Linked DNA regions of Alligator mississippiensis. The protein of the gene in region 3 interacts with the protein of the main gene of each other region in a pairwise test. Links are inferred from orthologs where the notes say so. Each region holds a gene or a part of one and is shown on either strand. Other genes may lie near its edges. The genes, in order: SFN, CDR2 and HDAC4.

The links.
Region 1: the proteins of HDAC4 (region 3) and SFN interact in binary tests that used the Homo sapiens proteins (3 or more experiments, as listed by UniProt). The link is inferred for Alligator mississippiensis from reciprocal best matches to the Homo sapiens genes HDAC4 and SFN.
Region 2: the proteins of HDAC4 (region 3) and CDR2 interact in binary tests that used the Homo sapiens proteins (3 or more experiments, as listed by UniProt). The two-hybrid records come from large-scale screens. The link is inferred for Alligator mississippiensis from reciprocal best matches to the Homo sapiens genes HDAC4 and CDR2.

Annotation. Positions count from the first base shown.
Region 1 is NC_081829.1:2,829,058-2,836,511, forward strand, and holds SFN (14-3-3 protein sigma), read right to left. Parts: upstream 2,766-7,454; 5' UTR 2,606-2,765; coding exon 1,865-2,605; 3' UTR 1,274-1,864; downstream 1-1,273. UniProt on the Homo sapiens protein: Adapter protein implicated in the regulation of a large spectrum of both general and specialized signaling pathways. Binds to a large number of partners, usually by recognition of a phosphoserine or phosphothreonine motif.
Region 2 is NC_081836.1:46,673,904-46,681,971, reverse strand, and holds the start of CDR2 (cerebellar degeneration-related protein 2), read left to right. Parts: upstream 1-4,699; 5' UTR 4,700-4,815; coding exon 4,816-4,894; intron 4,895-8,068. Other genes in the region: transmembrane protein 180, read right to left, coding at 933-1,085.
Region 3 is NC_081827.1:182,299,297-182,307,468, forward strand, and holds the start of HDAC4 (histone deacetylase 4), read left to right. Parts: upstream 1-4,942; 5' UTR 4,943-5,115; intron 5,116-5,703; exon of another isoform or gene 5,704-5,782; intron 5,783-8,172. UniProt on the Homo sapiens protein: Responsible for the deacetylation of lysine residues on the N-terminal part of the core histones (H2A, H2B, H3 and H4).

The DNA.
Region 1 (7,454 bases), on a different chromosome or scaffold from region 3:
ACCGCTCCGGTGTCTAGAGAGACCTGCTGTTACCTACCAGCCCTTGTGTTTCAGCCTTGCACGAAATGACAGACTGCCAGGTGTCCCAAGGTCCTGCTGGCTTGCGGAGCTTGAGTAGTGGCACCCTCATCCCACGGCCTGGCCCAATTCCAGCTGCTTACTGCAGCTTGCCCTTCGTTTCCAGCTAGGCATGACACCTCCCGCCCCGGCCTGTTGTGTAATGCTGCCATGCGCTGTCAAACAGAGATGTTCCTCCACGCCGAGCGGGGCTGGGAGCTGGCGTGAGCCTGCCCCTGCATGTGGTCTCCGCTGCTGTCTGCAGCCCAGACTGGTATCCAGCCCAGTCCCTGCATGAGCCCACCGATCACGGGGCAGCCCCTGGTGCTGGGGTGGCTGCGGCCCCCAGGAAAGCAACGGGCACTGTTCCCTAGAGGGGTGGGGGCAGAAGTCTTGCTCACCTGGACCCACTGGGGATCCTGGGAAGATGCAACTCCTCTGCCCCCTCTCTGATGTAGACCTAGCTCCTGCGAGCATCTTTACTTCCATACTGCACCCAAGGGAAGTCCAGCCTGGCTGGAGTTTTGCAGAAGGTTTAGGACTGTAGCTTGTAGCTTCTGCTGCCTCGGTCCAGGGCTGCAGCCACCCTCAGCCCCCGGAGCCCCCGCGTCACAGGGCGCCGTCAGCCCTGGGTGGAGGAGCCCTTCTCTGGAGACCGGGCTCTGCGCAGGAAACAAGAGAAACGGCAGCTTTTAAAAGCCACGTTAGTGGGAGAAGCTTTGTGGGGCGTGTGTATGCATGTAGGTGCCTGCACACGTGTGCATGGGCCTGTATGTGCACATGGTGCTTGGGGCGGACAACGGGCTGGACAAAAGCAACCGATAGCGGCCCTGGAGGCGGGGGCAGGAGTCCTGCTTACCCAGAACCGAGACACCGGAGGCCCAGGAAGGCTCTGCTCCCCCATCCCCTCGTCGCTGTAACCGGATCGCCCGCTGTGCGGCTCTGGTGGGGTCCTTGCCTCCTGCCGAGGCCTGCCCTGCGGCACCTCGCTCCTCTCCCCGCGCCCCCACCCCGCTACCCGCACTGACAGGCAGCCTGGCATGCACAAGCCTGCCTGGAAAAGCCCCGGGCCTGTGCCGTGCCGAGACATGTGCACAGCTGGAACCCCCTCGCCCCTACCCAGCAGCAGAGAGGCATGTGCCAGGGGGCACGGGCTGCACCCAGCCGCTTCCACAGCACCAGGCCCAGCAAAGAGTAACGACCAGGACGACCGAGGCAGGGGGCAGGTGAAGTTTTATTGGCAGGGACAGGCAGACAGCGGCTATGGCAATACAGACACAGGCAGCACCACGAGTTTATCATTCTTAACCCGCAAGAAAGAATCCCTCCCCAGGCCCCTCACCTCCAGCTTTCTCCCACCAAGGCTCATGGCAGCGGCGACAGGGACCCCGCACAGCACGCCGCAGGAGCGATGGCCAGGTTCCCAGCTCCTCAGATTCCCCTGCTTAAACGCCCTGAAGAGTGGGGACCCTTCAGCCCTTTGCAAAGGGGTGCGGGTGGGGGGGGCCTAAGATGCCCCCTTCCATACACACCCCCCATGCTAACAATAGCATACAGGACGCTGGGCAGGACACCGAGTTAGCAGCGCTCTTCTGTAGCAACAACCACCCACCAGGGGTATCGTGGAAATCGGGATGGGGCCGGGGAAGGGGGTTTTGTCCCGAAGCTGCCTCGGGGGAAGGCAAGATAAAATGTGCGAATACCATACGCGCGGGCACGTCCCCTCTGCTAGCAGGATCCGGGCTGTGGAGCCGAGACACGTCTGCCAAAAAGGGGCCGAGAGGTGGGGAGCTCGCCGGGCCGCGGTTCAGTTCTTGGGCTCTTCCCCGGCTTCGCCGCCATCTTCTCCCGCGCACTCGGCTGTCCATAACGTGAGGTTGTCCCTGAGCAGCTGCATGATGAGGGTGCTGTCCTTGTAGGAGTCTTCGTTGAGCGTGTGCAGGTCGCCCATGGCTTCGTCGAAGGTGGTCTTGGCCAGCGTGATGGCCTGCTCGGGGGCGTTGGCGATCTCGTAGTGGAACACGGAGAAGTTGAGGGCCAGCCCCAGGCGGATGGGGTTCGTGGGCTGCATCTCCTTCTTGCTGATGTCCATGGCCTCCTGGTAGGCTTTCTGGGCATTGTCTATGGCGTCTTTGCGGTCATCCCCCGTGGCCACCTCAGCCAGGTATCGGAAGTAGTCTCCCTTCATCTTCAGGTAGAAGACCTTGCTCTCCGGATCGCTGGCTTCCGCGATGAGATGCTTGTCCAGCAGCCCGAGCACGACGTTGCAGACGTTCTTCAGCTCGCCCTCGATCTTCTCCCGGTACTCGTTCACCAGCTGCGCTTTGTCGTCGCCTTCCTCGGTCTTGTGCTCGATGCTGGAGACGACCCTCCAGGCCGAGCGCTGGCACCCCACCACGTTCTTGTAGGCGACCGAGAGGAGGTTGCGCTCCTCGTTGGACAGCTCGTCCCCGTGCTCCACCACGGCCTTCATGAAGTCGGCCATGTCCTCGTAGCGCTCGGCCTGCTCGGCCAGCTTGGCTTTCTGCACCTGGTGGTTTCGTGCCATGGCTGGGAGCGCTGCTGGTTGGAGAAGGAGCAGGCGGTTGTCCTGGGAGCCCTCAAAGTCTGTCTCGGTGCCGCGGACGGGATTTGCTTTTGGCTGAGCGTCTGAGCCTGGAGCAAGGGCTGGGTGCCGCTGAGAAGCCTGGCTGAGCCCCTCCTCTACTTCCTCCTAGCCGGGCAGCTCCTTAAAAGGCAAACGGCAGTGACTCACCTGGGAGCTCACTAACCATGTGCCAGCGAAGGGAGGAGACATCCAGGTCCAGCAAGGCCTCCACCCTGCCGCCTGCCAATCACAGGCTGGCCTCTGCACTCCCGGCTCCGGCACTGTGCCCCCCGCCCTGCCCCACCCGGCCTGTCGCCTCACCCTTTCTAGGTGGTCGGAGAGCATCCTGGCTGGACACGCACCTAGAGATGGGCTCTTTCGGCCGTGGGAGCCTTGCTCCGCTGCTCAAGCGAGATCAGCCCTCAGGGAGGACCAAGCAGATCTAACCCCCATTTCAGATGCCAGGAAATCTTTCACTGCCGGGGGACTTTAGCTGCCCCCTCTGCCAGGTGCAGATGGTCTCTGCTTAGCACCCCTAGCTCCCCAGCAGCGAGCGGCTATGCAGCTTCAGCCTGATGAGACATACCTTGTCTGACCGCAGAAAGCTAACACGATGCAGCCACTTCAAATACCAAAAGGGCTCGTTCCTCTGGGAGCTGGGTCTTTGTGCAGCCGGGGAAACCGAGGCAGAGAGAACAAGTGACTTCTCTAAGTGCAGAGAGGGCTTGTTTTATAGGTGGACTAAGACTGCACGAGCTTCGGCTCCCGCTGCTGCGCTCAGATCACATCACATCCCCCCCCCAGTAAGCTCGATGCCCTCTTCTGCTGGGCCCGTGAGCAGACTTGCATGACAGCACCGGCTCAAAAAGCCTTGAGAAGCATGTGGCCTTCCTCCAGGGGAAAGGGGGAAGGTTTGTGGGCAACAGGCAGGGCATAAGACACCAGTCATGCTGCGCTCATCTCTTCTACCCTGAGAATAAAGCTGCCTATAGAGGAGAGGAGCAAACCAGGAGCGTGTGACTGAATAGGGTCACCCCAGTCCGTTTGCTCTAGTTTTGGGGACTGCTTCAACACTAAGATGCTTTATCCTCCTCCTTCGGGAGGGACAGCGCCTTGGACAGCCCAGCCTGTGTACCAGAGGTGGGTGCATGTGGCTCCGTGCAGGGAGCAAATGGGCGTGGGGGAAGCGGGTGTCCAGGCCCATCTTAGACCGTCCAGGGCAGGGATTGGAAAATGCAGCCCAGGGGCCAGGTGCGGCTCGCCAGGCTATTCTATCCGGCCCGCAGGGCCACTAGCGCAAGAGCCTGGTGGCTCCCAAAGCCAGCATCCTGCCCCAGGGCCTTGCGTGCGAGGCAGGGACAGCGGCTTCTGCCGAGAAGCCAATGGTTTCTCGCTTTGCTACCGGCCCGGCTCAAAGCCTCTTTGATGAAATAGGGAAAAGGGACCGTCTGCGGCGCTGCGCTGCCTCTCGCCGTGATGTGCCCTGATTAGAATCTCCTCCTCCAGTTACGCTGCAGTTTCACTCTCAGACTGATTAAGCTTGTTCCCACTTGCTGGGAGCCGACTGCTCCTTTCTGCTGCTGCCAGGACGCGGCGTGACAAACTCATTGCGCTAATCCTCCACGTTATCCGCTGCGGGGAGGGTGGGGCTGGCAACTCAGCTGTCCCACTGCGCCGAGGAATTGTTCTGGCTGCGTGACTCACGGCGCTACTCATCCGTGCGCAGAGCCCTGGATTGTCTCCCCCCAGCTGACGTCTGAGCCCTTCTCTGCTGAAAGGCCCCGGTGACACCCCAGTGAGATCAGACCAGCTCGCTGCTGATTTGAGGGGAATGCCGTGACCTAGCTACAGCGCTGAATCCCTCCTGGATGAGCCAGGGGAGGCTGAGCCCCGTGACGTGTGCTTAGCTTTCCTGGGTGCAATGGGTGCAATTAGCTTAGAGGCCTTCCCCGCTCCCTGAGTAATTATTACCAAGGGATCTGAGCCCCTCCCGGCACCCCGGGGCAGAGCGGGCAGCACAGCGATCCCTGCTGTCACACAGACGGGCACCGAGGCCCAGAACCTGCGAGAGATTTCCACACGCAGCTCCCACGGCCCAACACCGCAGCCTGGTGCCAAAGGGACTCGCCCGAGCTCATGCATGAAATGTGTGTCAGAGCAGGGCTTTAACCCAGTTCTCCCAGGTCCCACCTAGTGCTGCACTCCCTGTCCCGTGTCCCCCCGTCTCTGGGGCCTGAATGCTGCACTGGGGCCCCATGGGGGTGACGGGGACCCTGGTGCTGCAGGCGCCCAAGTAGCCGTGCGCTGGAACCAGCAATGAGTGTTTCCAAAAGAGATGCCGGCAAGTAGCACCCGGCAGGTGCCAGGCTCTCTATGGGGGGAGCAGCCTGCGGGCTGTCAGAGGGGATGCCAGGCCACGTGGTGGGTGCCTACGTGCTCTAGCCACAGCCGCGTCATTCCTTCCCAGGTGTGAATGTCCCCCCAGGTTTGCTTCCCCTTTGGGGGCTCGCCCGCCGCGCGGTAGGGTCTGCGCAGCCTCCTGCCCTGTGCAGCTGACTGAAGAGGAGGCAGGCGAGGCGCCTTTCCTTCAGGCAGCTCTGCGATCCCTTCGCTGCACCAGGGGCCTCGCGGCAGGGCACATGCTTGCTGCATTCGGCGCTGGAGAATTAAACTGAGCAAGCCTGTCTGCTCCCAAGCCCAGCGGAGAGGTAAGGAACAAGCATGGGTGAGCCCCAGTCTCTCTTCCCTGGCTGGAGGGAGGAATTAGCTCCTTCCTGATCTGTGTCCCTGTTTGCTCTGAGAAAAGCCGTGGCGCTGCCGTGGGAAAAGGAAGGGCCCCGCTGCAGTCCGGCAGCCAGTGCCGATGCTGCCACACGCGTCTGCCTCCCGGCTGGTGGAACTGGACCTAACCCAGAGGAGCTGTTCAGAAGCCTCCATTTTAGCAGAGGATCAAGTTAACCCTGAAGAAAAGGGGCTCTCGGGCCTGGAGCTGGTCAACTCGCCTTCCCGTCCCTCCCCTCTGAGGCCAACGCGAGTCGCTGGGCGCACGTGGCAGGAAGAACGGGGCCAGGATGGCACAGGGCTCAGCATGACAAGATGGGCTTGGCCTGGGCTGGCCCCACTTCACCTTCTCATCCCGGGCAGCGCATGGACCAGACTGGGGCACGCCCTTCACAAACAGCTCAGCATGAACGGGAACAATAAGCGGCAGCAAACGCATCAAGAAGGTGCCCAACAAATTGACCCAGTTTGTGCACAGATGTGTGCGCAGAGGCGGGCCAGGCTACGCCCCGTGGCGGTGATGACATTCAGTGGGGCCCGTGGATCAGGCCAGCTCCGAGCACCGACAGCCAGAGCTGCAGACCCGCTCTGGCATTAACACAACAGGCTTCCTACTCACTCCCTCCCGCCCTGGCTGGAAGGCCCGCAGCCCCGCCGCGCCTTGCTGCACCCACCCCTCAGTCCTGCGACGTGCCAGGCTCCCCGGCAGCATGCAACACGGCTTCCCCTGCTGCTCTTGACCCACCCTCGCTCCTCTCTGGACAGATCAGCCCCTTGCCACAGTTATACGAAACTGCAGCTCTCGGGTCCACCAGCAACTTTGCAACAGGGCAGTTGAGAAGGAAGCAGCTGGAGACACCTGTCCCCAGTGTCACCGATTTCAGTTCATAGACATTAGGGCTTGAAGGGACCTGGCAAAATCATTGGGTCCAAGCCCCTGCCCAAAGGGCAGGTAGGCAGCAGGGGGTCAAATGATCCCAGCAAGATAGTTGGATGAGTTAAATAGATACACCTGGGTCTGAAGCAACAAAACCAGCAGCCCCTCACCCCTCCTCCCCCGCCTTCTCTCCCTGCACTGAGCACGCAGGTAGTTTGGGGGAAAAAAAGGCGGACTGATTCCCAGGTGCAGCTCACCCTGCATCCGGTTTCCAGGAAGACCCAGCCTGGCTCTGAGCTGACTGGGAGCACCTGGGGTTTCACAGGGATGAGGCCTGAACAAGTGGCAAAGCTCAGCACCTGACACTTGCACCTAGCCAGGCTCCGGGTGGCTGGGACCAGCGCACAGCAGCCCAGGGAGCTAGATATTCCTGGCTTGCAGCCTGAAATCACTGAGCAGGAGACTTCTCATTCACACCCCACCTCCCCCCAGGGAACACGTGTGCAGTCACGAGCGGCAGAGAAGGGGCACACCTTCCTGGAGGAACAAAAGCCAGGGGTCCGGGTACAGTAAATAGGAGAGACTTTATTGTGTTACAAAAGTAAAAGGCCTGACGCGGTTCCAGTCCCCCGGCCTGTGCGGGGCTGGCAGGAGGCAGGGGCTGGGCCGTCTCGCACTAGCTGCTTTGTAAAGCCTCGCACCCGGTTTGCTAGTGGCCAGAGCGTTAGTGCATTTGCTGCTAGGCACAGGCTCCCGGTAACGCTGACTGCAGTAGCAGGGGGAAGAGGCTGGACAGGGACGGACGCTAGGCAAGCTGCTGCTGCGCTCTACTCCCTTCCCTGAGAACGGGAGCTGCCCTAAGACAGCGGAAAACGCTGGGCTTACTGGCGAGCGCTGCCTGAAAGGTGACCTCGGAGCGCACGGACTGCCAGCGAGACGGGGCCTCGGGCTGCGTGCGCCAGGAAGGCAGCTTGGGGAGGGTGTTGGCCAGCACAGCCAGCAACTACCAGCCCGTGTCCCTGCTGCAAACGCTGCACTAAGCCTGTTAAGTTCAGAGGAGCTGCTTGACTAATAACTACTGACATCTTCTGGGACTGACCGAAGGGGAGATGCTTCACTGCAGAGTAAGGCTAGTCGCAGGCAGCCACCTAC
Region 2 (8,068 bases), on a different chromosome or scaffold from region 3:
GGGCAGGGACCGGGATCATGGGGCAGTGACAGGAGGGGAGCAGATTGCAGGTCTGCCCCATGCTGTCACCACTCCACAATCCCGGCCCTTGCCCACTCATGGCCCTGTCCCATCTACCCAGCCAAGTGCACCCTGCCCACCAGGGATCTCAGCCAGTTTCCATGCAAACCCCAGGCACCCATTCTGTCCGGCGGCCCCAGCAGTGGGTGTGCAGTGGATGGGCCTGGGCTGGTAGGGTCGACTGCCCCCTTGCCCTGCTGGGCCAGTACCCTCCACCCAGCAACAGCTCACCAAAGTGAACCTCCAGCCAAACTAACTACCCACCCCTGAGTTAGTGAAACTATTTCCCAGCTCTTCTAACAGAGGATGTTTTGATATATAAATACAGACGTTCAAAATATTGTGCTTAATTTTTCATTTTACTTGGGGGGGTGAACTAATGCTTGCCAGAAACCAATATTTATAGGTAGTTCACTGTCTAAAAATGTGGACAGGTGCCTAGTCAGATTTTCAAAAGCTTAGATGTCTACTCTCATTAAAATATAAGCATTCTGGCTGTAAGCCACAGACCAGCAAACACTTACATGCAAGTAACTCTGAGCACATAGGCAACCTTACTGAGCTCAACAAGACTCTTCAGGTAAATAAAAGTTATTCACATGAGGAAGGGTCTGAAGCATCACAATGATGATCGATTTTAAGTACATTAGTAATCCCATTTAGACTGAAAACATTATTTCAGTACCATAAAGGCTTTTTTTATTTTTTTTAAACTAAAAGCTATAAACAATGTACACTTAGTGCATCTTTAATTTATGATAAATCAAATATTTCAGTAGGGCAACAATAAATTCATAAACAAAGCAGAATTATTTCAGTGCCATATAAATGTTATACAACACTAATAAAATCAATGTTCCAACATACTGTACCTGAGCTTGATGAAAGGCAATTTCTGAAATCTTGTACTGGTTTAAGAAAAGCTTAACATAGTAGAAATTAAAGATACTATTCATCATTCCAGCACCTAATGTGGTCATGGAATATGCCAGTGCATTAGGATGAATTCCTAAAACAATCTTCATTTTCCAAATTGTGATAGTTTCTTCTTCTGCTTCTAATTTAAAAAAAAAAGTTAACAATTAGATAAGTACCATTACCTGATATTTATAAACTTGCTAACAACACAAGATGGCATATTGTAACATAGAACAACTCCATGTTGCTGGGGACAACCAAGAGAGATTTGCCCATGTCAGGGCTGCAGGCTGGGGTCCCACAAATCTGTATTCAAGGATTTCTTCATTCTCAGTCTCTTTTCTACTTCTAAATGTATTGCAAAACTTTTAAGATTATTGGACCATGAGCACAAACCTAAACAGCTACAGTAGTAATTTATCAATACCATTTCTTAATATATATGCAATGCTTAAATGCCAATAGAACATGTCTAACAAAAATAAAGGGAACTTTTATCATAAGTGGCATAACCCAGTCCTACATCTATGTTAGTGCAAATCCAGCTCCCCAAACCACAGATATTTTACAGATCACTCTTTCTTTCATTAGCTTAAAAACTGTTAAATGAAAAACAGACTAAATAAATTTAATTCATATTGATGGATTACCTTGAGGTATCAATATGTAATAAGCTGCAAATTTAGTTCAGTAATGTTTTTAAAACACATTCTTTTAAACCAATTCACGATGATCATTTTTAGTTTAACGTTAATAATAAAAAACAATGTGGAAGCAAACTTCCAGTTAACAAAATAATTAAAAGACAAAACAGAAACCATTACTTTTGACTAGGAATCTTCTTCATCTCTGTTTTCTCCCTTACTAGTCTTATATTACAAAACTAGAAATTTACATAAAGCATCCTGAAGCTAAACATTATGCTCTGTAGTCACACAGCATGTGAAACATCCCTATGGGGTTCAGCCAAGGACATGCAGAGTTCTTAGCTCAGCACTCTCTAACTTAAGCAGTGTATAGGTGGCCCCATCACACTGTGGGGGTGAGGTGGGAAGTTTCAGAAACTGGCCCCGTATGGATGCTCCGTGAAGTGCTAGTCCTGAAGCTGTGTGCTCTGTGTGTGGGTCCATTTGGCGTGTGCCACCCATTTGGGTGGGTGAATTCAAGACCCAGGGCCAGCAGCTAGATGATGGGGCTCCATGGGTCAGATCCAGCCTGCAGACCAGATTTTTGACATCCCTGATTTAGCATAACACTTAATTATTCTTTTCTAATTCAAGTTAGAAACAAAGGAACAGTTGGGATGAGGTGGAAAATGGAAAGAAGCAAGCCTCCATGGCCCTTTGAAGCTGCTTATATTATTAAATGAAAAGATGACTAAAGGTAGCAATAGTAAAAAGACACAACTTTAAATTTAAGCTTGTTACATGTTCCAAATAAATTCTGTATAATGGCTTTACATTGTTCACTGTATCTGACTTTTCACATACAAATGTGAACAGCTAGATTACTTTTCTCTTTTGAAAATCAATTGGTATTAATAGCTCATTCTAATCCACCTAACCATATGTATATCCTCATTAGCACAACTTCAGATTTCTTCCTAAGAAAGCTGTGCAATCCCTCAATATTTCATAGCACACCAATTCTCAAAAAATATATATTTTAAAGAATATTTGCTAATTTCTGATTTATCCCTTCAGTCACTAGAAATTCTGTCTGTAAATATTAATTTCCACTCACTCTTGGTAGACTAAAGCCACAGGCTGCCCTCAGCAAGATTTCCACATCCTTTTAAACTAAGGGAGGCTGCCATCAGCAAAAACTATCACTTCTCATTGTTCCCGGCATGGCTGAAGATAGGCATTTCTGGGGAAGATGATGACCTTTAGTTACCACACAAAGTCCAGGAAACCTGCATAGAGTATGAGTAGACAGCTGCCTAGCTTGTCTACAGATGGTACAGAGTAGCAGCTCTCCAGAAGCAGTAAGTTAAATGTTTCTAGCTGGACACAAAGTGGAGTGTAGCCACGTGGTATGTGGCGCTCCAGATACATCCATGGCACCACATACTATACATTCAATTGTTCTCCTCCCTGCAAGAGAGCAGCGTGGAGGTTTTTTTGGACCCCTGGATATGCACACACGGTGGCAATGGGAGCCACCTAAAGCTGGAGCTGTGCTCTGCTGCCAGCCAGGCTCTGCATGGCAGAAGTAACATGACTGCAGCCCCTGCAGGCCCCCAGTCTCCCCTACCCCGCCATGGGTAACTTGTGCCAGAGCACGCGTGACAGCTAGCAACCCCACACAGTATCCTGCTGCTAGTTGTCCCTGGGGAACCAAACATTCACACACATCTGGACATGGCCAAAATGTGTTAACGCGTCTTTATTTTATACTGGTTTTGTACAATGGTGTGAATTAGCCTGAAGTAGTTGCTGTTACAGCACCTAATCACTAGGTGGGAAGATGAGCACATCATAACCTGCGTGCATTGAGCAGTCTACCCTGGGATAATTGCAAACATACTTTACTTCCACCAGCCTGTTTTTATTCATTTTTTTTCCTGGGGTAGCTTTACACCATGTTCTAGTAAGCTGCACCGCTACAGGGGTTTCCAGTGTGCCTGCTTTTTTTTTTTTTTTTTTGCACCAGTAAGAGGCAATTTATACTTGTGCAATCATGTTGGGCATCCAAACCTTAGGGGCAGATGCTCCCCGCTCAAGGTGAAAAAAAAGTCAGCCAGGCACAAAGTTAACCTGAGCCAAAGAAATAAATACAAGCATTTGTGAGTCACTGCTGGTTTTTGTGCATACTTTTTTTTTTTTTTTTTAAAGAGCCTGGCTCATGATTTCCGGATGTTTGGATAGGCAACACTGCATGCTTTTTGCAGAGTCTTTAAAAAAAACCAACAACATACTAGGTTCTGCAATATTAGGTGGGCTGCAAACTGCATAGCAGCCTTTGCCTTCAGAAGTGAGCTCTAAAGAAGACTATCTACGGGAACCCTCTCACGTTACACTCGACTCTCATCACATCGGACCCACAGACTGCCCTGGATCCTCCTCCAGAACAGGAGAGCGACTGGGTTGCACGATCCCATCCCGGGAAATCTCCTTTGCTCCTGCACAAATCCTTCCTGCTTCCTGCAAGCGGGTGCTGCCGCCGCGCTGCCTCGCGAACAGGCCGGCAGCAGCGCGGGGTCCGCAAGAGCCGCTCGGGCCTCCTCTCAGGGACGGCCTCCCCTGGCCCCCGCACCCCAACGGGGCCAGCCCAGGCGGCTTCGCCTGGCCCTTCCGACGCCCCCTCTCCCAAAGCGGGAGGCGGCTGCGGGCCATGGGGGAGGCGAGGGGCACAGCGGGGCGGCCAGGGAAACAAAGCCCCGGGAGCTGCCTGTGTAGCGAGGGGCGTTGTCACCTCGCCTAGCCCCCGACACGCCGGAGCCCCGGACACCGCCCCGCCGCCATGGCAACCCCGCCTGCCCCCCGCCGCACTAACCGCGCGCCTCCTCCCTCAGCCTGGAGCCTGCGCAACAACCGCGGGGGCGGGGACGTCGTGCGCCCCACCCCGCAGCCTATTGGAGATGCGGAAGATCCCGGCGCGTGATTGGCCCGCGTTCCCGTCGGTCTGCGAGCCGCGGCGCACGATTGGCTGCGCGCCGCGAGGTGGGCGAGCCGGGTTTGAATTGCTCTCGGGAGGGAGGTCGGTTGCCGCTGCCACGTTGCCGCCGCTGGCGGCTCTGCCCTGCCGGCGCCGCGCTCGGCAGCGTCCGGAACCGCTCGGCAGCGTCCGGAGGCAGCTCTGAAGGGAGCGTCGGGGCCGGCGGGTCGGGGCGCGATGCTGGCCGACAGCTTGGTGGAGGAGTTCGAGCTCCGCGAGGATGAACCGTGGTACGACCAGCAGGACCTGCAGCAAGGTGAGGCCGCCCGCGCCGGCGGCACCCGCCGCTGCCCGCGCCCGAGCAGCTGCCGCCTCCCGCACCTGCGAGGGCCGCCGGGGCGGAGGAGGAGACCGGCTCTGCGCTCCCCTAGCCTGCTCGTGCCGCGCGGACCGTCCTGCCCCGCCCGCCCGCCGTCCTGGGCACGAGCACAGCACCTGCGCGCCGGGGCTTCCTTCAGAAACTTCCCTGCGGGGCATGAACTAGGATCCGCCCCGGAGAAACGCGGGGGAAAAACCACTAGAAGCTGATGCTGCGGGACCAGGGATGTGGTGTCGAGCCTTCCCTTGTCTCCAGTTCTCGGGGCGCTTGGAAGCATCCCCTCCTTACTTGGCGATTTGGCAGAATAACGTCTGTGTATTTAACAGAAGCGCGTTACTTAGTTTCTTTTCTAATATGCCATTAGGTGCCACACAGGCTGACCCACATCAACGCTGGGATGGGAGAGGTTCAACCAAGGGTTGCCAACTCTCGTGATTTTTGGCATTGCTCTTCAAGTCTATGTTCCGGGAACGTGAAAAACGTAGCTCTTTCTTTTATTCATATTTATCTGCCTATAAGAAGGAGCTGGGTTTTTTTGCATTCCCAAAGCGCAGACTTTAACAACAACGCCAACGCTCATGAGAGTAGCTTTTTAAAAGATTAATTCTTACAACTTGAAAACCCGCCCGAACCATCTAATTTCAGAGTCTACCATCTTTGACTCTTGTGCCCAAGAAGAAAACAAAGTTTTGGCTGGGGTGTTATGACCCCGCACTCGTTCCTGCCTGGGGCAGGGGTTCGGACCTGATGATCTGTTTAGGTCCCTTCCAACCCTAACAACAATGAAAATTTCACCTGGGGGGGAAATGGAGTTTAATATCTAGTCCCTTTTTATTAAGAAAAAAAGTATGGAAATGACTTTTCTGTTTGCTGGGAGATTCAAGAATGGTAAACAGCAACTTCCTACATCAGATATATGTTTTGGTGCCCTGCTGAAAAAAATTCATGCATGCTAGGAAAATGGCCACCAGCTTCAACAAAGTGTTGACTAGATCACAACCTAAAATGAAAAATAAATGCACAATTCAGAGACTCTTCTAAGACTTGTTTAGAAGTAAGGCTCGTGAACTAAATATTCACAAGGGCTAATCAGTGTATACCATATTGCTTAATAATCTCTTGTTGAAAGGAATGGGCACAACTTACTGCACAATTATCTTGGGTGGATTATTAAAACGTAGGAGCAGGACGCTGGCAACATTATCTTGATGTTTGGTTGCCCAGTTGTAATAACACCTTCAGCAAGGTTTGTACAAGTGTCATGAAGAGATGATTGCTTAGGGAGAACAGGACTTCCAAGTCTGCAGTTTCCAGACATAACAGTTAAACCTAACAAATCTAGACTGATCTGCCAAAATCTTGCTTGCATATTGTACTTTCAGGGACAAGGTGTAAAGTGACTAAACTTGTATTGGCCATTCACGACTGTTCAGGGACTATTCTCATGGTGAAAAGGGAACTTCTTAAATATCTGACCGAGATATTAACCAGCATATTGCCAAAATGTATTCAAGATCACAAAATAAAATGGAATGCAGAAAGATAAGCTTCTGTACTACACTGAAGTTTCAGATGGTCTTTCATTGTTTTTATCCTTATTCAGCTGGTTAGCTATATTCTGTTGTTTACTTGCACACTTGCTTTTATTGCACCTTGAACTCTGAAGGAACATATCAGGCTGCATAGTTTTGTCACCAGCCAAACTCTAAAACTCTGCAGGTGAGGTCAGGTTCATGAAAGCTCACACTGTTTTTCTGGTTTAGTTTGTCTATAGGGTGTAAATCTACCCTGCCTTCTGCTTGACTTCAGACTAACGTGGCAAACCTACCTCTCCAAATTCCCTTAGATGTTAACAAAAGCAGTGTCTGAATACGTCACATTAAATTAATTTAAAAAATGAACACCCTTTAATTCATGCACTAGTAGCCTAACCACCTTTGAAAGCATTGAACACTTTCAGCTCTTCTTGAAACCAAGACTTATCAGTGCCTTAATGTAATTAAAATCAGCACATTGGAAAGCAAATTCTTTCTGCAGTACTTAATGCTCTTAGTTTTAGATGAGACCAAAATTTTATTTTAAGACAAGGTTTACTTTCACATTTGAGTGATTCTGCCTATCATATAGAAACCAATTTCTTCTCTGTCAAGAATAGCAAATTTTTCACATAAGGAAAACATGAATGCTGCTTTGGAACTGCCAAAATAACAGACTACATTTAAGTCTGTAGCATGAGCATCTAAATAAAAGATGGAATCGTACTGTACTCCTTTTGTATTGCTTCATGCTCAGAGTGCTTTGTAAACACAAATATCACACTACCAATATTACACACTAACAGGAAATTACATGCACGGTTTCATTCCTTCCAGTTTTCTAAATACTTTCTTCTCAATTGGTTAGATCTCTTAAGCATATTTTAAATACTTGGTTTTGGCTCTTAAGTCATTTTACAAGTTATGTATGCAGTTGCGTGTCTTTAATAGAATCGTACTACTTGCCTGAAGCATTGAGTCTTAAGTATACCTTGGTATGCTTAGCAACATTTAAGGCAACAAAAATAGCATGAGTTATTGGACGGCTTTAATAAAGATGGCTGATGACCAGCTAAATTTAGTATGTTGTGTGGAATTAGAAAGTCTTAAGTAGGATTGTAATTTATGTAAAGGATTACAGAATCACTGAAGCTGTAGACAGCAATAGGTACTACAGAGCAAGATGTGGAAAAACATGGTTTGGTTTAGGACTTCTTAGTAGACAGGCAAAAAACTCATACTTGCTGCTTTCTAATACAGACTAAGTAGGTAAGATAACATGTAGCAACAAGAGGTCTTAGACAGAATTGGCAGACTGGGAGACTTGTAGAAAGCCGAGGAAAGGAAATGGAGCTACATTTGCACTTAAATAGATGCAAGACCAAAACTAAATGCATGGGGGGAGGAGGGAAGGAATACCAAAGCAAGAATGCTTAAGTCTCTTTCTTTACATTAGGATGTACAAGATGCCTTTGTGCCTAAACACAGCTAACTCACAGATAGCTTTTGTTGGGAGAGAGGACAACTGATTTTCTTAAATAAAGAGCCATTTAAGCTGATAACTTAAAAAATGAGG
Region 3 (8,172 bases):
CTTTGCAAGATTTGCTCAGCGGGCCAGCAGTGGCGGTCGTGCCCCCGTCCCCCAGCGGGCTTAGTTTAAAGCCCGGTGGAGCAGGTCAGCCAGTCTGGCTGAGAAGAGCCTCCTCCCTAGGGGAGAGAGGTGGAGACCATCTCTTCCCAGCAGCTCGCTGCCTCTCTCGCCAAAGAGCGGGCTGTGGTCATGAAAGCCAAAGCCTAGATGAGTGCAAGTGAACCCTAGTGCCCATACTTGCCCTGGTGACTTCATTGGACTATGTGTGGGTGAAGGGCTCCACCTGCATGCAGAACCAGAATTCCTGGGGATTTGCTACTGGTATGTGAGAGAAGTTTTGAACGCTACACAGATTGCCTATACTGCTTATGGAGTGGAGTTGGATAAAAAAAATTCCCTTCTTTCCAGGACCCCCAGGCTAACATGAGTCCATTTAATGTTTCCATGAAAAATGAAAGCAGTTATCAAAAGGAGAATACGACTTTGATGCCATTGTATTTGAGCAACTTCAATTCAGTTCAGTTCAGTTCTGACTATATTTGACTACCAGCTGTGCGGGCCGGGAGTGGTCCGAGGCCCTCGGGGGCGCGTGGTGGGCTGTGGCCAGCAGCCCTGGCACGCGGGTCAGGGAATGCAGGCCGGCGGACTAGAATTAGGCACGGACGCATAGCGGTTGATTAAAGATTATTTTACTTACACCGTAGATGGTCGCGGTGCAGGCAGAAAAACTTGCTTGTGTTGCAGTTACAGACAGGAAAGAAGAAAAGCGGACAAGAGTTCTAAACTCGCGAACTCTAGCCCAATCCGGCTGAAGGCTCTAAAAACGCGAGCCTGTTGTGTCAACTGAAGAAAACAACTTGGAGAAGAGCTCTGGATACACTCACACGAAGTTTGCTGGGCTCCGTGGAACTTGTGCACAGGGAAGGGGTTCATCAAGAGATTGCGCTCGGCGATGGGGAGAGGCCAGAGGTTGATCAGACCCCTATAGCCTTCTTAAGGTACACGCTGGGTCCGTTAGGCTCCGCAGCGCTTAGAGTTCTTCACGAGATGTGAAGTCCTCCTCCTCCAGATGGTTGTGGAGTCCTCCCTTGCGGGGTTCTCCTTGGAGTTCTCCAACTTGGGCGGAAACCGCTCAAGCCTCTTATACAGCTAGCAAGCCAATCGCTAGCCGTCACGAGGGAATAATTTAGAACTGGCCAATAGTGGGACACAAATTTGCATGCGGGTGGCGGGAACTTCTTTGCAACTAAGAAATGCACCTTGCAAAGAAAGCTCCTCGTGGCTGGAAATAATTTAGCAGTGCCGAAGCGCGCACACACAAAATCACACCCTTAGGTTGTGACACCAGCAACACCTCCAACAGTCTGATATGCTTATCTTATTTTGAAAGGATCTAAAGCCTGAAGGATAAAGATTGAACCCTCAGGAGTCCTTTTTGCCTAAACATTTTAGGCACCTGACTTAGCAGTTGTCAACTAACATATCTGCATCATGTGGCGTACAATATTTCAAGCATGTCTTCATATTAGTTCCAAGCATTTTGCAGAATTAAAAAATTCAACAAATGAGAGTGGTGACAACTAATGGACATGGTCAAGCAAGAAACTACATAGTGAAGATCATATAATATACTAGGGTAATTATATTTAGCATATCAAAACCTAAATTATTGCTCATGAAGTGCGAGGAACATAAATACAATGGACACATAGAAATCCTGTTTGCTACTTTAGGAAAAGTATAGTATTTTACCCAGGGTCTTTTAAATACAATCTGGTAGATATTTGATACCATGTGGAGTTGTCCATAGCCATTTTTACAGACGAAATTACCTGAAAAAAGAGGATGTTAAATGCACTCCCGGAGCAGAAGCTCTATTAAGACAGCTCCTGGCAAGAAATGAAGATTTGCTCATCTGCTAGTAACTGAGTGAAATATTATATGTCCAATATATGTTGCAATTCCTACATTACTAATTACTCCAATTCTGTCACAATCTGTACAGCCAAAATTCAGATTTTCCTGAGGTTTACATTATCTGAATTGGCTAAATGTGTATAAAAATGAAAAGCTTCTATAATATGCCAAATGTTGTTAAAACTGAAACAAGTAAATTGTGTTTAAAATGTGTGCAATACATTGCCAAATTGACCTTAATTTAAACCATTATTCATACGTTATTTCCATTTCTTGATAGGGACCAAGGCTTGCAATGTTGCTCAGTTGTCTAAACCAGAAAAACCATTTCCCACATCATATCCTCAATGACACTTTAGGTTGATGAGGTACAACAATAACTTTTTTCATACAAACTCATTGGGCCTTGAAGCTAATGGTAATACTAGCATGTTGTAGAACTGAATAAACGCACAAGGTCTTCAAGGTATCAGGTGACCTCCTCTAAAAGGGAACTAATTACCATGGACAATCTTTTGCCCTTCAGCGCCACCTTCTTTTTTTGACTGGTGCTTCTTTCCTTGGCTGTTTTGTCTTGATTTTCACTTTTCTCACCTCTGGTAGAGTTAGCAACAGCTTTTTGGTCACTGGGGAAAATTTGGAGGGACTAGGTGTAAGCTCCCCACGTTGAGGCAGCATGTAGGTTAGTACGTACTGAAGAGGAAAGCACAGCCGCCACTGCTACGTGCCTTTTGGTAGCAGCCGCTCGCTATTTTGCAGAACACTTTTCATGAATCTGCTTTGTTTTCACCTGCATGTTAGAACTGGAATTGGAGTGAGAAGGTTCTTCCTATGCTTTCCAGGGCAGCTTCCTTCAAGGCAATGCCAGAGACAGGCCTCTAGGGAAAAATTCTGACTCACTTTTTCAGGCTTTGTTTTGAGTGTTTATACAGATATTGTAAGAGCAATGCTACCAGCAGACTACCTTTCAGATCAGGAAAAACCAAATAAGAGTTAAACTCAAATATACCACATACTGGATCAGCCCTGCATGCTCAAATATATGCATGTGTGCACCTGTCTTTGTCCCCCCCATCTCCAACAATTGTTCTCATTTCTCCTCCCAATCCACATTCCCTTAGGGTCATCTGGCTCCTGTCTTTATCATGTGTAAATCCCTTTATATCTATCTATATATGCATGCCACACCTAGATCATCATGCATGCTTAGTCTGTACAAAAAATTTATTCATGTTCCAATTTTCGTTGATCCTTACTCGCTTTGCAACTTCCTTGACTTCTACTAAACCCTACTTTATTCTACATCTATGAATATATGACATGTATTTCCTTCTACCTGTAAATGGAGGTGAAATGGGATGTAGACAAGGGAGAGCAAAGAAGCCAGAGCAAGGAAAAAGTTGCTGAGACCTACCACTCATTTTGAATAGATAAAATGTGTGGAAAGCCTAATTTTAGATGACTGTTTTTTATTGTTTGGAGAAAACACAGCTCCCAGTGGACAGGGCTTCCTCATGTATTTCTTGTAGAAAAAAAGGATGCTTCCTTTTGCATAAAGTTACTTTGTACTTGACAGAAAACACATCACATTAGTTGGGGTTTTCTTTCTCTGCAGGAAGCTTCATCCAAATGCATAAGGCATATCAGTCGTCCTAGATTTCTTCCCCAGAAGGTAAACACTGTCTGACCTCTATCTAGGCGGGAGAGCAGCAGCGACCTCTCCATAGGGAGATCACCTCTTGCAAATTTGAGACCTGTCATACTTCATGCTTTCTTTGGTTCAAGCCTCAGCTCCTGGATTCAGGCATTGGGATGAGTCCCAGCTCTCAAGTAAAGCGAGCTCCAAGGCCTCACAGTGGTGGAGAAAAGCTGGAAACTGAAAGGTGCCAAACCTCACAGTCAACGGCATCATTGAGCATGTGCTGGTTAGAAACAGCACTCTCATGAATGGAGGCATGTGGGACTCCTTAGCTTTGCAATAAGGTTTTGCAGCCTGGGCTGCGCCATCCCTGGAAGTTGATAAAAGGTTGTCAAACCTGCCACACACACATGGTGAGGGAGGGCAGGCTAGGGGTGTGTCTGGGAGGGGTACAGCGGTGCTGTCATGCTGCATGTTGGTTCCTGCTCCACCCAGAGTTTAAAGCCAACTGTCTGGCAGCAGCATTGGCACCTCAGGCAGCAGCTAGGTTGTCAAGCAAATTCACAGCTTATTACAATTTACCTCATCCCGTCTAAACCTGTTCCTAGGTGTTAACAACCCTCTCTCTTCATTAATGGTCTTAATGTTCCCCCAGTCAAGCTGGCCTTTCTTCAGCCACTCTGCCGCCCCAGTCTCTGCCTCTGGCAACTAGGCTGCTCTTTCCCAGCCCTGCGGGTGGTTTGTAACCGACTCCTACGAAGTCCTGTTGGTTTCTGCTTCCACCTGAAACGGGAAACACTGGCCCAGGCCCCTGGCCTACGAGCAGAGCATCTAGTTTCTTTTTATTTGTGGGTAAAGGAAGACCTCTGATGAAGATGGCAGTACAGCACTGGAACAGACACCCCCGAGAGGCGGCGGGCTCTCCATCCTTGGAGGTTTTGAAGCCCTGGCTACACAATGCTGTGGCCAGGACAATCTAGCTGGGGCTGGCTCTGCTCTGAGCAGGAGACAGGCCAGATGTGACCTCCCGTGGTCCCTTCTGGTTCTCATTTTCTATCATTCGAGAGACTGTGCGCCACGTTACACTCGACAGCGCCTTTCACCACCTGTGCCCTTCGCAAAATCCTGGACATGCCCAAGGGGCGCACCATGGGCCACAGCCCCAATGCACCAGGGAAGCCCTGCGGGGGCTCAGCTCAAGCAGCACCCAGGGGCGAAGGCCAGGGAAGCGCTGAGGGACCCTGCCGCCGGGGCGGGTTGGGGGCCTAGTCGAGATGGTGGGGCGGGGACCTGGGCTCAGCGCCAGCCCCTCCCCCGCCGCCCGCACTCCCCGAGGGAGATGGGGCGGGAGCTGCTGCTATAAATAGCCCGCGCGCCGCGATTGGCTGAGGGAAAAAATGGTCGGAGCACGTGACTTTCCAGCTAAAAATTCCAAGATGGCGGATCCCGTCATGGGCTGAGTCCGTTGGTGGCGCGCGCGCCGCTGTGTCAGCGCCAGCCCCCGCCACTGCCCTCCCCGTGACCCGCTCCAGCTCCCGGGGCCCGTGCCCGCCGTCCAGGTCAGTGCCTGCCGCTCGCGCCCTGCCCGCCGCGCCTTGCGCCCGCCTTTGCCCGCAGGCAGCCGCTGCGCGGCCCCTTTAAGACTTCGGGTGTTTCTGTCCTCCGGCTTTGACTTGTAGGAAGGCCGATCCCGGCCGCCGGGCCCTTAAAGGGATCGGTCCCACCCGGCTGTTTTTTTCTCTCTGCTCCGACCGTGAAACGCCGAGGGTCCGGAGGGGGGGCGGGGCGGGGCGGGGCGGGGCCGCGGAGGGGGAAAGGAGAGAGTGATGGACGGACAGCGCATCCAATCCGAGCCATGCGTGTTGCAGTGGCGGGTGCATTTAAGCCGCTCGAAGCTTCGAGCTGGACTCTGATTGCCCGCGACTGGAAACAGGGCGCGGCGGCCGTGGCTGGCCAGTCAGGGCTGGAGGAGCGGGGCCGGGGGTGGGCCTTGGCGAGACAGACGCCTGGCTTGCCCAGTCGGCGCGGAGCGGCGTGGTCCGCCCCCTCGCGGCTTAGCGTGGCCGGGGTTTTTGTGAATGAGGCGGGTGGGGCGGGGGCTGCCGCAAGTCCCGCCCCCCTCTCCCCGGCGCTGCGGCTCCTCCCCCCTCCCCCCCGGAGAGCAGCGCCGCTGCCGCCTCGGTGCTAAGAGCGGCGGGAGCGGGCGCGGGAGGGATGCGGGCAGCGGTGAGTGCGGCCGAGCCGGGCGGGGCCGCGATCCCTGCGGGTGCGGAGCAGCCCTGGGTGATGGGAGGACGGGCGGGCGCGCTTGTCCGTGTGTCTGGCTGCCGCGGGGATGCGCGGGCGGGCGGGCTGGCTGGGTAGGGTCTTGGTCCCCCCCGCTCCGGGCCCGCTCCTTCCCGCCCGCCGGGGCCGGAGCCCGCCCAGTTGTTTACAGTCACGGTCAAAAAGCCTCCGGGTTCAAACCCCATCGGGCTTGTCCCAGGACCCCGCTTCCCCGCAGGGCCGGGCAGGTGGGCTCGCACGAGGTGCCGAAGAGCCTGGAGGGTTTTGGCAGCGGAACTTGTTTTTTCTGCCTCTTCCCGCCGCCGCCTGCAGCAGCTCGTGAAGTGGGTTTGGGGGAGAGGATGCCCGGGGCTACTGGGCATGGTTTAAAAGCGATTTCTAAGGCTGCTGTCACTTGGGGCCCCTGGTTCTTCTTATTTTTAAATGGTTTTTTGCCGGGTGTCAAAGTCACAAAGTCTGTGACTTGGCAAATGCAGGGTTGGGGGGGAGCTTTTTTTTGTTTTTTTTTTGGGTTCTTTTGCTATAGGGGAAAAATATTTGGTGTATTTCATTTCCTCATTGCAAATCCCACTGCCAAGCCAGCCGGGCAGCGTTTTGCTTGTCCACTTGGATGACAAGTGGACAAGCAAATAGCCGCTCTTTGATTGGCAAGCGCCGGCGCAGTTGGCTCAGCCAATAGAGGAAAAAAAACAAAGCTTGTGTTTCAGGTACTGCGTTTTCAAAATGTAGTTGGACTGTTGCAGTGCTGCTGATGTAAAGTGCATAAGAACAGGATTAGGACCCGCTTAGGTTAATGTTTGTAAGCACAGGCTCTTATGGCCTGTGCCTGCCCCCCCCCCCCCCCCCCCCCCCCCGAAATTGCTGTGCAATCAGAAGGGAATTTTACTCTTAACTCTGAAGTGTTGGATTTGTGCAACAATTTTCATGTCATAGTTTTAAAAAAATTAATTATAATGTATTTGGAGCAGAGAGAAGGGAGGTGTTGCTGAGCAGTTGTGTGTGGGTTTATGCTGCAGGAATTCATCAGGAAAGATACTGTGCAACACTTGAGCTTCTTAAATGTTATCTTCGCATTTTTGTGGCATGGCAAATGCAGCATGACATCTTAAGCTTTTTCACTTTTTTACATGCCAGTTTACTTGACATTATACCAGGCTACCTTGTACCATTTGGAGGGTGGTAAACCTGATCCATTTTTTTTTCTTTAAAACCTTTGTAATAGCATTATGTAGCTCATGTACATGCCTGCGTGACACTGAAGGGTTCTTGTTGTTTTAGCAGTTTGTCAATAGATTTGCTGTGACAGCTTTAATGTCAAGGTTTGCAGAAATTAGGCTTGTCACTTAAATTGTTGACTTACTGGATTTAATGGTACATTTATTACCATCAAGTTACTTAGTGGTTTAAGGTGAGGTGAGCTTTAGTAAATTCTGCAGATGATTGGGTTGTCTGTTGAGGTGAATGCCATCTGTATGCCTGGATTCAGGGAACACATTGTCATGCTGGGGGCCACAGACACCAGTTCCTTTCTATGAATTCATCTCCAATATGGCTATCTGCATGGTTTGAGTTCGTTTGGAGACCTAGCAGTATTCCAGTCCCTGCAGTCTCTGCACTCCAGTGTGAGATCCCAGTGACATGCCGAATCTTACGTTGGTCTTCTGCACCATAGGTGAAATTAAATTTTAGTGAAGAAAGCTGCTGGAATATATTCTGATTTACTGCTGTTTTTATAGTGCCAAAAGTGCCTTGCACAGGCTGTGTTTACTACTGTCAAAGTGCTCTTTATTGTGGCCAGTAGCTATCTGAAGTTAATTACCTAAGAAAGAGGAAGCCTCTTTCTAAAAGGCAACGTTTTTTAGAAGTGAAGGAACACCACTAGCATTTATGTAGTAATCTGATTATTATTATTATTATTATTATTATTATTATTATTTTTTATTTTTTTTTTTACAGTATTTCTTTTTTTGTAATATGATCTGGAGCTGCTTTGAGTGTTTAGTTTTTGGTGTTTCAGTTGCTGTTGTAGTTCTCAACCTAAAAGCTATGGTGGTTGATTTGGAGCCTGTCTGAAAGAGTTAAGGGGGCATTGAATTAAGAAAGCTCAGCTGCTTGTATACAAATATACAGCAATTACAAGGCAACAAAGTTATTGCAGAATTCCACTGTAACCATGGCAACATGTTCACTCAATTACATTTCCAAATGTAAAATGCCACCCAGTTAGAGTAAGTTTTAGCAACCACCAGTTTTTGTATAAAACAAAATGTGTAAGAGGCAACCTTTCCAGGTTTTGTGCATTTTCCCATTTGGATGGACATGTGCTTCTT